Elephas maximus indicus: one gene and its partner. The protein of the gene in region 2 interacts with the protein of the main gene of each other region in a biochemical or structural test. Links are inferred from orthologs where the notes say so. Each region holds a gene or a part of one and is shown on either strand. Other genes may lie near its edges. The genes, in order: COPRS and PRMT5.

Region 1 (7,619 bases), on a different chromosome or scaffold from region 2:
GGTTACTGAGTACCTGAATTTTGGCTAGTGCAACCAAGGAGCTGAATTTTTCATTTAATTAAAATAGCACTGGTTGCTAATGGCTATCGTATTGGGCAGCATAGTTCTATATCCTTTCACCCAATCTTCAGAGCAGCCCTCTGAGGTAGGTATTCTTACCCCCATTTAAAAATGAAGAAAGGCTAAGTGACTCATTTCTAAGGCCACGAAGCTCAAGCTCAGGACTATCTCACCCAGGGCTAAAATTTAAAACAGTTTTGCCCTGCTCCAAAGATACTCTTTCCATTGTTCCATGCTGTTTCTCTTAGTGGAAGCAAGGGGTTTATGTATAAGAAAAGTCCAGGGCTTCCCTTAAGGAAGCTCCGTTGGGCTCCCATCAAGGACACTGTTGAAACAGTAAGCAGAGACAGCAGCAAAGGGAAGGACTGGCAGGAAAGAGCAGGTAACAAGAAGCATAGGGAATGCCCGTCTAGTCAATCCCCTGGTTTCTGCCAACATCCATCTCAGTCTCTGGGTGTCTACTTACCTAGTCGACCTGTGGCCTTCACAGTCTCCCTCTCCATCGGGCAGCAGTGGTCATATGTGGCAAAGCCCATCTGTAGGAAGAAGCAGCAGTTACCTGGAGATTTGGGTATCTAGGGTATGCCCGTTATTAAGCTACTGTACCTCAGCTCCAAAGCCACACATCTAAATTCTGCTTTGTGATTCTCGGGCTGGAACTCTGCAACCTACTTTTCTGCTTTGTCCTGTTAGACTTGGCTAGGCTGGAAGGAGAAGGGACATGCTCCTTCCTAGTCCTGTAAACATCGCCCCAGCAATACTTCTTCACCCCAGCAGCAGGAGTGCCTTTCTACAGCAGCAGTTGAATCCAGTTTATGGTTTTCCCAACACTTGCAGAAAGGGCCTCATGGCTCACCCCAGCACTTGAGGCCCCTCTTCCAAGCTTGGAGCACTAGTTGAGGCAGTCCCCTCAGAGACAGGAATTTCAGCTCTGCAAGGCTTCACTTTTACGTTTTAATCTTTCCCACCGCACCCCTTTGTTCCCTCAGTCCTAGTGCTGGTAGCTATTTCCTGTAGTTGCTACCTGCTTATTCATCTTTTACCTTCTCAGTTAGTACCTAGATAACAACTTTACATCTAGTTAACGATGCTCTCAAATTCTCTGTTCAAATAGGTAGTGTGGTTTCTATCTCCTGGCTGATGTGTCGGGGGAGCAGGGCTCTGGTTCCTCTGCATTGCTGAGCACTGAAGGAAATATTTCTGACCTAACTGGAAATCTTCTCCCCTCAGCCAACCAGAAGCATCTGTGTCCATCACTCAAAAGTTACTGAAATCGTATGGCCTCCAAGACTTCTTTCTAGGTGGAATAAGAAACACTCACAGCCTGCAAGAGAAGACTGATTTCAATACCAGATGTGCTGTTCAGAGTGACCAGTCAGGTGGCCATGTCACCTCAACCATCCTGCCTGGGTTTCTATTCTATAGAAACTGGAGGTGATGTTACCTCATCATAAGCAGGAGGCTCATGCTAACATTTATGGAAACACCTAGTATGTAGCAGGAATGTAACATTTGTTGAATTCGAGTCCACTTCTCTTTTCCCCCCATGTGTAAACTGAACTTGACACCTGCCCGAGACCTAAGCATGCAGAGTATTAGCATTCATGATCTAGTCATGCCTGGATTTAATGATTCAATTCCCTCCCAGTGGTGACAATCCTTGGCCACTGCTGCCACCTGCGAGGTCTCTCACCTAGACTACTGCAAGAGACTCCTAACTGCCTCCCCCATCCCTTCTTACCCAGCCTTAGCGTGATCACTACTGTGATCAAAAACCTACAGCCCTCCACACAATCAGCTATGGCATTCAGCCCCAGCCCCGTCAACCTGTGCAGCATAGTTCTCTCTCTCCCCTCTGGGACCCAAGCTCCAAACCGTTTGCCATGCATGTTCTCGTCTCAACACCTCTGCAGGCACCAGCACCCTCTCACCTTGGAGAGGAAGGGCACATCCCTTCCTACTCTGCCAGGGTAAATGCCTCTCATCCTATTCGGCGCTCCCAAATATTTTATCACTGTATTTTTCACATCATACCTTGGTTAAGTACCCTCTTTGATTCTTAATAAGTATTCCATTCATTCATTCAATTAATACTGGAGTGTCTGTCTGTTACCTACGTGGCAGGCACTGTGCACTCAACCAAGGCTTCTAGCCTCAAGGAGCTCAGCGTCCAGCAGGGATCACAGACAGCCAACTGTGCAGGTAGTAACTGTAATAAAGGTCTTTGGAAAACCAGAAGCTGTCTGGTGTATAAATGAAAACAAGTTTCCGAAAACACTGCGTCAAATGGGGTGTTTTGGTTCCGGTATAAAAGACGAGAGCGCATGTGGCCTCACCGGGTGCTCAGGGTTAGCTGCGCATCCCCGCCAATGGACATGAGTCCCTAAGGACATTCCTCTCGGCGCCGCCCTCACCTGGCCCCCGCCCAAGCCCCCCACAGCAGCCGGTTTCCGGGGCTCTCGGCCATCAGCATCACCTCGCACTGACCGAGCACGCAGAGCCGTCCCCGTGAGCCTGCAGCCTTCCCTCCCCACCCGACGCGCCCGCCTACGCCCTCACAGGTCCTTCCCCGCAGCCCCGCAGCCCCGCGGCCCTGCGGCCCCGCAGCCCCACAGCCCCGCGGCCCTGCGGCCCCGCAGCCCCACGGCCCCGCGGCCCCGCGGCCCGGCCGTTTCCAGCTCTAGCGCGCGCCCAAACGGCGCTCGGCATTCGCGGGCGGCCCGCACCGGGCCAGAGGCGCTTCCCCCGCTTCGCGGCCCCAGCCCGACCCGGCGCGGCGCGCCCCCCACTTCCCGACCCGCCGCAGGTGGTGGCCGGAGCGGCCCCGGCGCCGCGCTCACCCCCGGGCTGGGAGGCGCCTCCCGCGCGCTCGATGGCGGCGGGCCCCGAGGCGGCTCGGCCGCCCCCAGCGCCTGGGCCCCGGGGGCCTGAGGGTCCATGCCAGGCGGCCCGCGGCTCGGCGCCCTGGACGCTGCTCGGCCACGTGACGCCCCGGCCTGGCTGCCAGCCCGAGGAGACGCCGCGGACGGCCAATCAGCCGGGGGCCGGCCGAGGGGGCGGGGCCGGGTCACGCGGAGGCCGGGGGCGGGGCGCGGGCGGGGCGAGGCGGAGCGAAAAATTCCTCCCCCGCCCCCACCCCGGACCCCGAATGGGAAATAGGCTGGGATGCTGATTTTTGTAGCTCCCACCAGTCCAGCCCCTAGGACTGAACGACTGACTACGTCTGCAATGCTTCAGTTTCAAAGGCTCGAATTTCTGTATTGAATTACCCAAGGGTCTACCGACTAGTAACCCCAGCTCTCAAAAGTTTCAGTGCAATTGTATAGCTCCAACCACATTTCACTTTTCATCTCATTTCAGGAGGGCTCCTACGGAATTCAGGCTGGAAATGAAATATAACTCACCCACAAATGGATGAAACAACTCAGCAGCCCAGTGACTCCACCCTGAATTAATGACAGTATTTAAAATTAACCAGTTTGATCAAAACAACCAACTCCTGCTATGCGCTGGACAAGGTTATTGACAGTCATTGCTCTAAACGTGTGATGTGAGGGTAGTCTGACCCCCGCCCCGTTGCTCAGCTATCTTTACATGCTGAAAGCCTGGCGCTCTACAACACAGTTATTCCCATTTTGCCTTCGAGGTCATAAGAAGGCGCTCTATGATAGGCAGGCTTGAGCTGTAGATACGGCTAGTCTAGTACTCTAAAACCTGCCTCCCTACACTGTCTATGCTCTACTAACACACCTGCTCAAGGTGATGACCACATGTTAACATTTAAGTATCAGAGAAGCTGGAAGTTGGGACTCTTGGCTCACCAAGCAACCTTACCACACCTTTTGGGAACTTAAATTAGCCTATTCCTTACCTCCCTGAAGAGTGTATTGTTTGTAAATAAGGCATTTGAAAAAGTTTAACGGTTGACACTTACTATTCGGTGTTGGTTTCTATTCTCTCTGTAGCCTTTCCTACAGGGAAATGAATGTGACCAATTAATGTGCTGTGTTCTGCTGACCTGGTCAGTGTCCCCAAGTCTGATGGCTCTAGGTTAGCAATGTCCAACTAAACCTTCTTCGATGGTGGAAATAGATGTCCTGTCACCTGTGCTATACTACATGGTGGCCACTAGCCACGTGGTTACCAAGCACTGGAGATGTGGCCAGTGTGACTGAGAAGCTGAATTTTTAAATAAATTTTAACTTAAGTCACCACACATAGCTAGGGGCTACTATCTATAAGCGTGCAGCGCTCCATGAACTAGCCAGATGCATTTCATCCCCTGCAATGGTGGGAACCGTAGACATGACCCACCTTCAGGGCCTTGCCGACACCAGCCAGCCACAGCCCCCTTTACTCTCTTCCCTTTCATGCAAAAAGTCTCTCTCTCCCAAAATAAAAACACCACGTAGAATGTTACACTTTCCAAGACTTAAGTCAGAGGGGGAAAGAGGAAATTTTTCTTAAGACAAATGACAAGCAAACAACTTAGAGCACAAAAGCTCAAAATAAAAATGCCCAAATCAGACTCTGATACTCATGAAAATTTAATATATAATAAAGGTAGCATCACAAAATCAGTAGAGAGAAGAGTAACGGCCATAAATGGTGCACAAAAAATTAGTTAACTGCTGGGGGAGAGGAAATCGGTTGACCTCAACAAGGGAAAGGGCTTTCAAAGTATTTTAAAAACAATACAAATCACCAAAAATACCTCTGAATGTCAAAAAACATCATTAAAAAAAAAAGCTGGGGGTAAATTATTTGCAACAAACCAGGGACAAAAGATTAATACTCTTTATATAAAGAATCATTTCTTGTATATTAGTAAGAAAAAAAGAATAGTTCAAAAAGTGGTCAAAGAACATGAAAAGACAGGAGAAACATAAAAAAAAAATTAACTTCACTAATAGCAACCCATTGCCATCAAGTCGATTCCAACTCATAGCAACCCTACAGGACAGAACAGAGCTGCCCCATAGGGTTTCCAAGGAGTGCCTAGTGGATTCGAACTGCCAACCTTTTGGTTAGCAGCCGTAACTCTTAACCACTACGCCACCAGGGTTTCCTCACTAGTAGCAACAAACTGCAAATTAAAACAACGATATGTCACTTTTTACCTATTCAAATGGTGAAAATAAACATAACAGCCAGTGCAGGTAAAGATGTTGTCACTCTAATGCAATGCTTCCAAGAACCAAGGTGACAACACATACCAAGATTCTTTTAGTTATATCCTTTTATCCAGTAATTCCACTGGCAAATATTAATCTCCTTAAGGAAATAACCAGGAATGTAAATAAAGGTTTACAAGACTCTTTTACTACAGTGTTTTAAGACAGAAAAATTAGAAATGACAAGGTCCAACCACAAGAGATTAGTAAAATAAGTAATGGCTCATTTATACAATGGAGTGTTAGTAATCCATTAAATGTTTTTAAGGCTATTTAATGACACGGAAAAATAACAATATTAAGTTGGACATGAACATAAAATTGCACTGAATGCTTCTCTCAGTGACATCATGAGATGAAGGGAAAGGCAGGGCTTCATTCCCTTGGAACCCCTGCTGAGAATGTGCATCTCTAACAAGTTCCCAGAGGAGGCTAATACTGCTGGTTAGGGACCAATTCTGAGAACCACTGGTAAAGCCAGGCCAAAAAACCAAACCCGCTGCTGCGGAGATGATTCCAGCTCATATTCTGACTCAAAGCAACCATACAGGACAGAGAACTGCCCCATAGGGTTTCCAAAGAGCAGCTGGATTCAAACTGCTGACCTTTTGGTTAGTAGCCTGGCTCTTAACCACTCCACCACCAGCGCCCCACTGGTACAGCAGTGGTTCTCAAAATTTATTATATAATACTATTTAAAGTATAGATTCTGATTCAGCAAATCTGTGGTTAAAGTACAAATTCTCAGCAGGGGTTCGAAGAAGAACGAACCAGTTCAAAGGCCTGCTTAAAGGATATAAAATTCTAATAATTTCCTCCCCTGTTCCCAGAATGTCTTCTCCTCCCAGCCACCCTTTCACACCACACTTCTGAAGCCCTTCTGTGCTGCTCTCATCTACTTCCTCCCCTGGCCCTTCTCTGTTCCTGGGCCTCCCCAGTGCCAACACTTCTCTGCTCATTGGCCCCAGGGACAGAAGACAATTTATAATGTTATAACCTCCTTAAAGGACAACTTTTCCTCAGTACCCAGCATCTCCTTCTCTACTGCTTCAACCAGCTCTTGGGACACCCAGCTCTGTTCCTTCAACTCCTATACCTCCATCCCAAAAGGCCTTCCTTCTCTCCTGACATGGTGGGAGCTCAAATATTCCTTGCATGAATGAATGAGCATCAATCCAATTCTGATAAGGGAAATCAAATTATTAAATTTAATTCCAGATGACGGCATTACAGGATGTGTTTATTTTCTCCCATATTTCCTATAACAAATGCGTACTATATATACTTTTATAACAAAGAGAAAATAAACATGCGGAACTGGGCTTCCTCCTCCATTTTAACTGACCAGGGAGTGGGGTATAATAAATTAAACTCACTTGTATGATTTCCATATATTTTGGAAAACATTTAGAACCTGAAGCAGGTTCAGCCTCAACAAGTAGCTTTCTGCTACTAAACAGTTCATTCTCTTTTTTGGAATTAAAGATTAACACATCAACGCAAAATTAAATTATGTCTCAAAATCCCATTAGCCATCTCTAAGCAAATTACAAACTGACAGTCTGCCCAGAGGGCTTACAATACTTTTTCACAAAGTGGGCTGTGTTCTTCCTCTTTTCACAGCTGGCCAGCCTGATACATGGTATGTTTAGCTACAAACGCCTCTGCTGATTCTCCCTGCAACATCTTCATGGCTCGCCAATAGATCTGTCCACAGTTCTCAGGTCTACCAAGAGGGTGATTCAATTCCTCTTTGATGTAATCCATCCAAAGATCTTGAAAAGAGTCAAAAAAATTACTGTCAACATACGATCAGACAACTGGCAGGGCTTTATCAGGTAAATTTAACTATTTAGTATTGATTCAACTCAAGATTTCCAAGAAATTTAACTTCTCGCTGTTATTTCCCTAGAATCCTATATAAGACAGTACCTTTCGCACCCGGATTCTTTACACCAAGGTATATCAAAACAAATTTTAAATAACAGTCGAAAACCTTCACTTTAATCATGGCAGCCTATGTTATTTCTTAAAGTCAAAAAAACTAAATATTTTAGAGGGAAGATTTTACTAAGTCTCTTTCAAGGTGAAACTGACCCAAATGAATTCACTCTAACTTTAAAACTTGCTAATAAAACTTGCTGAGGGCAGCAAAAATGCAGCTTTCATTCATTTCACCAGGAAAAGGTCAGTGAAACCATGTACAAACTAATTTTTTTTTTATATGAGGCTGGTAACTATACATGTCAGTGTTTTTGTGTTCAAATATAAAGCCCCAGATTCTACATGACATACCTATGCCCAGAGGTACATCTTACAAGTCCAACAAACGAATGTAATGTGGTGACAGACCACAATTGGTGCGAATGTGTATCTCACTTTCAC
Region 2 (8,050 bases):
CCTCCACCTCATGGGAACCAGCTTTGTGCTGATCTTGATTCTTATCCCTCATGAATACAGGCAATTCCTTACACTACAACACACCTGGAAATCAGAAGAACTGAATTCTCATTCTGTTTCTTCCATTTAATTTAAGCAAAACTTTGGTTAAGATACTTAACCTCTGTTTTCTCACCTACAAAAGAGGTATATTAATAATTCCTACCTCACAAGATTATGTCCTGATAATTAAATGAGATAATATATTTTAAGTGCCTGGAATGTGGTTGAGTCAATGTCCATTCCATGTCTCGGTAAAATTTTGTGATTTTCTTTATATAGGAAAGAGAATATATTCTTTTATATATTCCTTACATTTATATATTCTTTTATATATTCCTTATATTTTTCAGTAAAATTACAGCTAAGTACTTTATGGTGGTGGTATTGTTACCACTGCGAACAGGGAAAATACTAATCACAGTAGCTAATGTACATTGAAGGCTTACTGTGTGTAGGGTAGATTCTGAATGCTTTACTATATTAACTATTTAATCCTCATGACAGTTTTATGATGTAAGAATTATTATTTACGTTCCCATTTTACGAATGAGGAAACTGAGGTCAGAGAGGTTAGGCTCACACTGTTAGTAAATGGATGAGCAGGACTTTGACCTCTTGCCATCTGGCTCCAGGGGCCATGCTTGTAACAATCTTGTTATGGGGGATATCTTTGTTAATTATGTCTTCTAAATGGTTATTCCTAGTAGATAAGAAGAGTACAGATTTATTTTATATTTGTCTTGTATCTAGTGACTTCTCTGAATTTGTTATGAATTTTCATCATTTAAAAATTGATTCTCATGGATTTTCTAGGTATACAATCATATCATCTGCAAACAATGATAAATTTGCCTCTTCCTTTCCAAAAGTTATGACTCCTTTTTTCAAGTCTTACTATATTGGATTTTTCAGAACAATATTAAATAACTCAGTGATGAAACCAGATATTCTTGTTTTATTTCATCTTTATATAAGTTGTTGACTTTATATATCATATATATACACATATTTATATACGAAGAATATTAAGACTATTAAAAACATTTATAGAAAATGAAAATTGACTTACCATGTTCTCTTTGGTAATTATTGAAAAAAATCAAATGTTTTTCTTGGTTTCTTATTGACCTATTATATAAATAAATTCTCTAATACCTAAACTTATGTTAATCCCTGGGATAAACTCTAACTGGTTGTGGTATATAATTATTATGTTCATACATTGTTGAATTTTATTTGTTAATCTTAAATATTTTTGGAATTTTATATTTATATTCATAAGTGAGATTGGTCTGTAGTTTTTTGTTTGCTTTATATTTTGGTGCTACTTCTGACAGGTCTTTGTATTAGGTTTATTCTGGCTTCATAAATAAATTGGGTAGTTTTCTATCTTTTTTTATTTTGCAGAACAGTTTCTACTTTCATTTTGACAGATAAATACTGTATAATAGAGATGACAAGGAAGAGAATGCAAATTGGCATAGATTATTTTGCCTCAGTAACTCTGCCACTTTTGTAGCTAGAGGACAGCCTTCGTTGTGAAGAAGCAATTTGGAGCAAGTAAGAGGGTCAAACGGGCCATCATTTCCGTTTTGAATAGTGCGGCTGGCTGGGCCAGCACAGAGGTGAGTAAGGATGGATCTGGGGAGGGAGGAAAGAGCTAAGAGAGGAGGGGAGCACAAAAGAAGATGAAAGGAGGGTTTACAATGGGTGGGAGGTGTTTAAACAAGGACAAAAACCAGGATCAAGTAGGACTGGGCCTGACAGTGGGACTGCTGGAGGGCCTGGTTGGCTCAAGTCAATTCTGACACATGGCGACTCCATGACCCCATGTGTGCAGAGTAGAACTGCTCCATAGGCTTTTCAAGGCTGTGACCTTTCAGAAGCAGATGGGCAGGACTGCCTTCTGAGGCACCGCTGGATAGGTTCCAACTGCCAATCTTTCTGTTAGCAGTCGAACATTTAACTGCGCTACCAAAGGCCTGGTGGGGAGGATTATCCGGGAATGAGTACTCCTTCCCTTCCAGAAGAGTCTCCACTTTTCAGCTGGTAGCCTGTTGGTCACTTACTCCTATTTGAGAAAGTAACAGTATTTCTCACCCAGGGTATTTTCCTTTCTGTTCTACCATCTCCCTACTTCCATCCCAGCAAAAGCCTACATCCCATAGTTTTATACACACGCTTCTGAATGCAAGAGTTCAGCACGGAGAGCGAAGCAGAGAGTGATAGATGTCACCAACTTCAACTTTTTGCCTATGGCCAAGTCCTGTAGAAGGTTCTCTATTTCTTTTTCAGTCCTTCCCTTTTTGCTCCTCTAAGTTCCTATAGATAGACCCACAGTTACATGCTGCTTTTTTATGGCACAGACCAGAGCTGTAGGATAGTGGAGAGCAATGTGGTATGGAATTATGGGGAACCGCTCAGCATCATGCTTGCCACACAGCTGAGGCCGTCCTGACTGGAAAAACAAAGACAACACAGACAAATGAAATTTCTAACAACAAACTGAACTTGAAGGTCAGTCAGAAAGTCCAGGCTTTTTTTACATGAATCATTTTGAAAATTATTTTAACTGATGGCCAAACTGACATTACTGCTTCATAGATTTTTCCTCACTCTTTCTTACCCAGAGATGGGTTAGTTAACAATCAAAAGAGCAGCCACCAGCTTGACGTCAGGAGTGGGATGCCAGGAGCACAGATGGTCCACAACTCAGATAATTAGCTTCTGAAGGAAAAACAACATCTAATAAGTCTTCTGTGAATGCAGAGTTTGGCTGGGCACAGCTGGGGCACAGAATAAGCAGGCTTCCACACCTCTTTTTCTATCCCTTAGGATGTCTGCAGAACCCTCACCCACTTCCTGTGGACAACAATCTACTGTAGATGTTCCACCCTAAAGGAGGGGAGCATAACTCCTCACTCCTTAAGTACACTGCATAGTAACTTCCTTCCACAGAAAGGAAGAAAAGGAATAGATCTACAGTGGAGAAACCTGATAAACACTGCTTCAGTCAGGTCATCAAGGTCAATATCAACGGTCATAATCATGTTGGTAGTATGTACCCTTGATACGATGTGATAAAAATGGCACTTCTGTGATCTTCCTCCCCAAAACCCATAACCTCAGTCTAATCGTGGGAAAAACATCAGACAAATTCCAATAGAGAGGCATTCTAGGATACAGCTGACCAGTCCTCCTCAAAACTATCAAAGTCACCAAAAACAAGGAAAATCTGAGAAACTGTCACAGCCAAAAGAAGCCTTAAGAGATATGATGACTAAAAGTAATATATCCTGGATGGGATCCTAGAACAAAGGACATTCTGAATAAAGTATGAACTTTAATTAATAATAATATATCAATATTGGTTCATTAATTATAACAAATGTATCATACTAATAGAAGTTAAAAGTGGTGTGTGGTGTTGGGGTGGGGAAGCAGGGCTATATGAGAATTCTGCACTATCTGTTCAATTTTTCTGCAAATCTAAAACTGTTATAAAAAATTGATTAATAATAATAAAACAAACCTGCACGTATCAAATAAAGACTTAGGATGGGACAACAGTATTTCCAAACCCTCAGACCCGGTGGGGCATTTCCTTAGATCTCTGGCTTTTGGGTTTTCCTCTTTTTAAGGCACTTACATTAAATCCAGGGTTCCTCAGAGGAGAAATTATCTTATATACACCCTTTCCATGTTCTCAGGGCTCTGTCACCCACAGGCCATGGTGATCTCATTCACTGTTATGACTTCAGTCACTACCTGTCTTCTGGTGATTTCCAAATCTTGTCCGGTTCACATCACTGTTCATCCAACTCTCTATTACACAGCGCCCTCTAGACGTTCAATTCAGCACGTCCAAACCTTAATTTCCCCTTAAATTTGCACCGCTCATTTCTTGTCTCACTGAGAGGCCAGAGCCCTGGGCATCACCCCAGACTTCCCATTCTCACAGTCCCCTGCCAGTCGGTCCCTCAGTTCTGTCAATGCTTCCTGCTTAGGGCCTCTTGTGCTGTGTTCTCTCTATCCACCTCCCCTCCCTCCACCCCAGAGGTAGGGCCTTCAATACGGTTGGGCCGCCAGCTTTCAGGTGTTCCCTTTCCTATTCCTTTCTTTGCCTGATTCCTTTCCTTCTTCTCTGTCCCTATAGCAGCTGTTGACATTGGAAAGTACATAGTTTCTTTCGATCCTCGCCAGGCAGCTCCATGGCTCCCCTCTACTGTAATCTCGCATCATGAATTCTTTTTCTCTGATCTTCAGGGGTGTGTTTATTTAGCTTTTGTGTTTGAGACAGAATCACAAGGAATTAGTGGCAGAGTGATCATTGTCTATTTAAAAATGTAACATGCAACGAACAGGGACAGATCCCAATTTAAGAGCTCCAACTATATTAATTCAGTTTTCTCAGTGTACAGGTGGACACAAGAACCACCTTTGAAGGCGTAACGGGGAAAAACTGGCGGTAGAACTTAATCAAATTACGACCTGAAATCAGGGTGTGAAAAGATAACGAGAAAACACAGAAACACGAGCCTTACACCAATTACTGCATTAGGGTGTAATAAGGGAACGCCCGTCCCACCGAGCCAGCCAGGAGTCGAACCTGGAATCTTCTGATCCGTAGTCAGACGCGTTATCCATTGCGCCACTGGCCCTGAGACAAGGTGGCCCTTCTCACTGATGACACTTCAAGCTTATACTGCAGGGTTTCACGGGACGTGTAGTCTCTTGACGAAGTCTGCAAAGGCATAAAGCATTATGGGAACTTAAAGCGCGTCACGTACCAGACCCTGCGGTTGGTAGATCTTTGGGAGCCACGCCACACGTCACAGTGAAGCCCGAGGATTGGCGGGAAGAGCCCCCACCCCTCTGTCTCCTGTACGCGAGCTGTAGAAGACGCTCTGGTTGTTAAGGCGACTCGTCCCGCCTTCTGGGGGCTTTTTATAGGGTTTTTGATTGGTTGCTAGTATTAAGGAACCCCGGCGTGGACAACGCGAGGGGAAAGATGGCGGCGATGGCGGTCGGGGGTGCCGGTGGGAGCCGCGTGTCCAGCGGAAGGGACCTGAATTGTGTCCCCGAAATAGCTGATACGTTGGGGGCTGTGGCCAAACAGGGGTGAGGACCCAGACCGAACGGAACCCGGGGTCCGAACTCGCGAACCGAGAGGGGCAGATTAGTCATCCCTGAGAGGCAGGGGTGAGGGGATCGAAAAGGGTAGGATGTAGGCGGGAGAGCTCTCGACTCCAGGAGCGAGGGAAGAGAAACTTTTGGGGTGTGCGGTCACTGAGCCAAAAGTCGGGGGAATTGTTGAATAAACCCAAAAAGAGGCAGTGAAGTCGAGGTTCTTGTCTAGGAGTGAAAGTATTAGGGAGCAAGAAAGGAAAAAAGAAAGGGGAGGCATGGGCAGTATTGGGGCAGATTTAATCCTGGAAGGCCAGTGACAGCAGAGTAGAAAGTATTCTCCTTGGAATGAATTTTCACCTCTTCTTACTCGTCTGGTCCACGGCTGTTTTTGAGTCTTTCTTTTTTTGCGTGGCATACTGGTATTGAGGCACAGTGCAGCGGAATTGATATGCTCCAACGTGGGCTGAACTCAGCAGCCCAGTGGGGTGACTGATGGCAACTGAAAGGGCTCGGTGCAAACTGAGGTAGTCTAAATCCAGTTGGCTTGGACCTCTCTGGGCATTGCTGTTCTCTTTACATGATGACTCTGGGTCTGTCGTGGTTATAGGTTTGATTTCCTCTGCATGCCTGTCTTCCACCCGCGTTTCAAGAGGGAGTTCACTCAGGAACCTGCTAAGAATCGGCCTGGTCCCCAGACACGATCTGACCTACTGCTATCAGGAAGGGGTAGGGACCATCCCGTATACCCCTTAATTATCAGAGGCAGTAACAACTTCTACTTTATCAGGGTCCTCATTCTCTTCCTTTCCTGATTTGGGAGTGTTGATTAGTTCCTGTGATACAGATAATCTTATTTTCTCCGTGCTTACTTGCTAAAAGTCTTAGTTCCCTATTCTGGATCAAACTATTCTATGTCTGTGATAGAAAAAGTCCTTGTCTCTTACTCTGTATCCTGCTAAGAAAGAAATTTAGCAAGAATAAAGTGCTGAACCTTATTCTGTCTTTGTCTTTCTTGGCTGGGACTTGCAGACTGGAATACACTAATTGTCGGAAAGCTTTCTCCATGGATTCATCCAGACTCAAAAGTGGAGAAGATCCGCAGGAACTCAGAGGCGGTAAGGGTGTTTCACCTCTCCACTGGATCTTTCTAAGGATTAGATCTGAAACTGAGCTGGGTGGGGAGAGCAGTTTTTCCTCTCATAACTTGGTGAATCAGGTGTCTGATACAACAGAGTTAAAGCTATTTGGGTTGCTAGCTCTTCACCTTTTCCTCTTGATCTCTGTGTCTAGGCTATGTTACAGGAGCTGAATTTTGGGGCATATCTGGGTCTTCCAGCTTTCCTGCTGCCCCTCAATCAGGAGGATAACACTAACCTGGCCAGAGTTTTGACCAACCACATCCACACTGGCCACCACTCTTCTATGGTACGGCTGAGGGGCTCCTTTCCTACTGTATAATACGGTAGTCTGCTGCTGTAAGTGTCTTTTTATGCCTAGCCATTCAGTGGAAGGTGCACATGGCAGAATTAAAACGTCAGTATTGCCTATCTCCGAAATAAAAGTGGTATGCAGAGAGATATAAGACGTATGCAGTATATAATACTTTATGTCTAGAAACTTAGAGTTGAGATAAAGGAAAGGCAGACATTTCCATAAGGACAAACACAGGATACATGTCCTTTTGTACATGTTGTTAGGTGCTGTCGAGTTGGTTCTGACTCATGGTGACCCTATGTATAGTGACTTTAAGTACAGTGACCTTATGTACATGTACCTAATCACAGATTGGGAAAAGCATATAAAGGTATTTACTTGAGGTCTGGATCAAGATCTTTTGACGGGGGGGAAACTTTCTGGACACAGTGAGTTCTAAATAAGGTACCTGTCATGTACAGTTCTGGATGCGGGTCCCATTGGTGGCACCAGAGGACCTGCGGGATGATATCATCGAGAATGCACCAACCACACACACAGAGGAGTATAGTGGGGAGGAGAAGACATGGATGTGGTATGTCTCCTTTTGGTGCTTCTGTAAGTTAAAGGGTAGAGTGAGGGGAAGTACAGGTGGAACCTTTAGGGAAGTCTCTCCTTTGAACTTGGTGATGGGTAGGTTCTGTGCATTTGACTGTATGTTGCTGTATTTGCCCTGAACAGGTGGCACAACTTTCGGACTTTGTGTGACTACAGCAAGAGGATTGCAGTGGGTAAGTCCATGAGGTTCCTAGGGTAGGTATCCCTTCTCTGACCCTCTATGAATAGGAATCGGGAGTTTAAAGTGTCATGTGTACTTGGCTGCTGGGCAGTTTTCCTACTTTTTTTTTTTGTAAGTTTTATTGTGCTTTAATGCTTTAAGTGATAGTTTACAAATCAAGTCAGACTTACAGAAAAATTTATAAACGCCTTGCTATATACTCCTAATTTCTCTTCCCCTAATGAGACAGCACTCTCCTTCCCTCCACTCTCTTTTCATGTCCATTTGGCCAGCTTCTGACCCCCTCTACCCTCTCATCTCCCCTTTGGACAGGAGATGCCAGCATAGTCTTATGTGTCTACTTGATCCAAGAAGCTCATTTTTCACCAGTATCATTGTCTATCCCGTAGTCTAATCTAATCCCTGTCTGAAAAGTTGGCTTTGGGTATGGTTCCTGTCTTGGGCTAACAGAAGTTCTGGGGACCATGACCTCCAGGGTCATTCTAGTCTAAGTCAGACCATTAAGTCTGGTCTTTTTATGAGAATTTGTGGTCTGCATCCCACTGCTCTCCTGCTCCCTCAGGAGTTCTCTGTTGTGTACCCTGTCAGGATAGTCATCGGTTGTAGCTAGGCACTTTCTAGTTCTTCTGGACTCAGGCTAATGTAGTCTCTGCTTATGTGGCCCTT

Evidence for each region.
Region 1: the proteins of PRMT5 (region 2) and COPRS form a complex in vitro, tested with the Homo sapiens proteins (3 studies listed by BioGRID, with this or other methods). The link is inferred for Elephas maximus indicus from reciprocal best matches to the Homo sapiens genes PRMT5 and COPRS.

The regions. Positions count from the first base shown.
Region 1 is NC_064837.1:26,513,314-26,520,932, forward strand, and holds the start of COPRS (coordinator of PRMT5 and differentiation stimulator), read right to left. Parts: upstream 3,099-7,619; 5' UTR 3,000-3,098; coding exon 2,901-2,999; intron 597-2,900; coding exon 527-596; intron 1-526. Other genes in the region: UTP6 (U3 small nucleolar RNA-associated protein 6 homolog), read right to left, coding at 6,852-7,009. UniProt on the Homo sapiens protein: Histone-binding protein required for histone H4 methyltransferase activity of PRMT5.
Region 2 is NC_064828.1:34,276,081-34,284,130, reverse strand, and holds the start of PRMT5 (protein arginine N-methyltransferase 5), read left to right. Parts: upstream 1-4,936; 5' UTR 4,937-5,053; coding exon 5,054-5,163; intron 5,164-5,779; coding exon 5,780-5,898; intron 5,899-6,201; coding exon 6,202-6,287; intron 6,288-6,462; coding exon 6,463-6,597; intron 6,598-7,067; coding exon 7,068-7,180; intron 7,181-7,326; coding exon 7,327-7,376; intron 7,377-8,050. UniProt on the Homo sapiens protein: Arginine methyltransferase that can both catalyze the formation of omega-N monomethylarginine (MMA) and symmetrical dimethylarginine (sDMA), with a preference for the formation of MMA.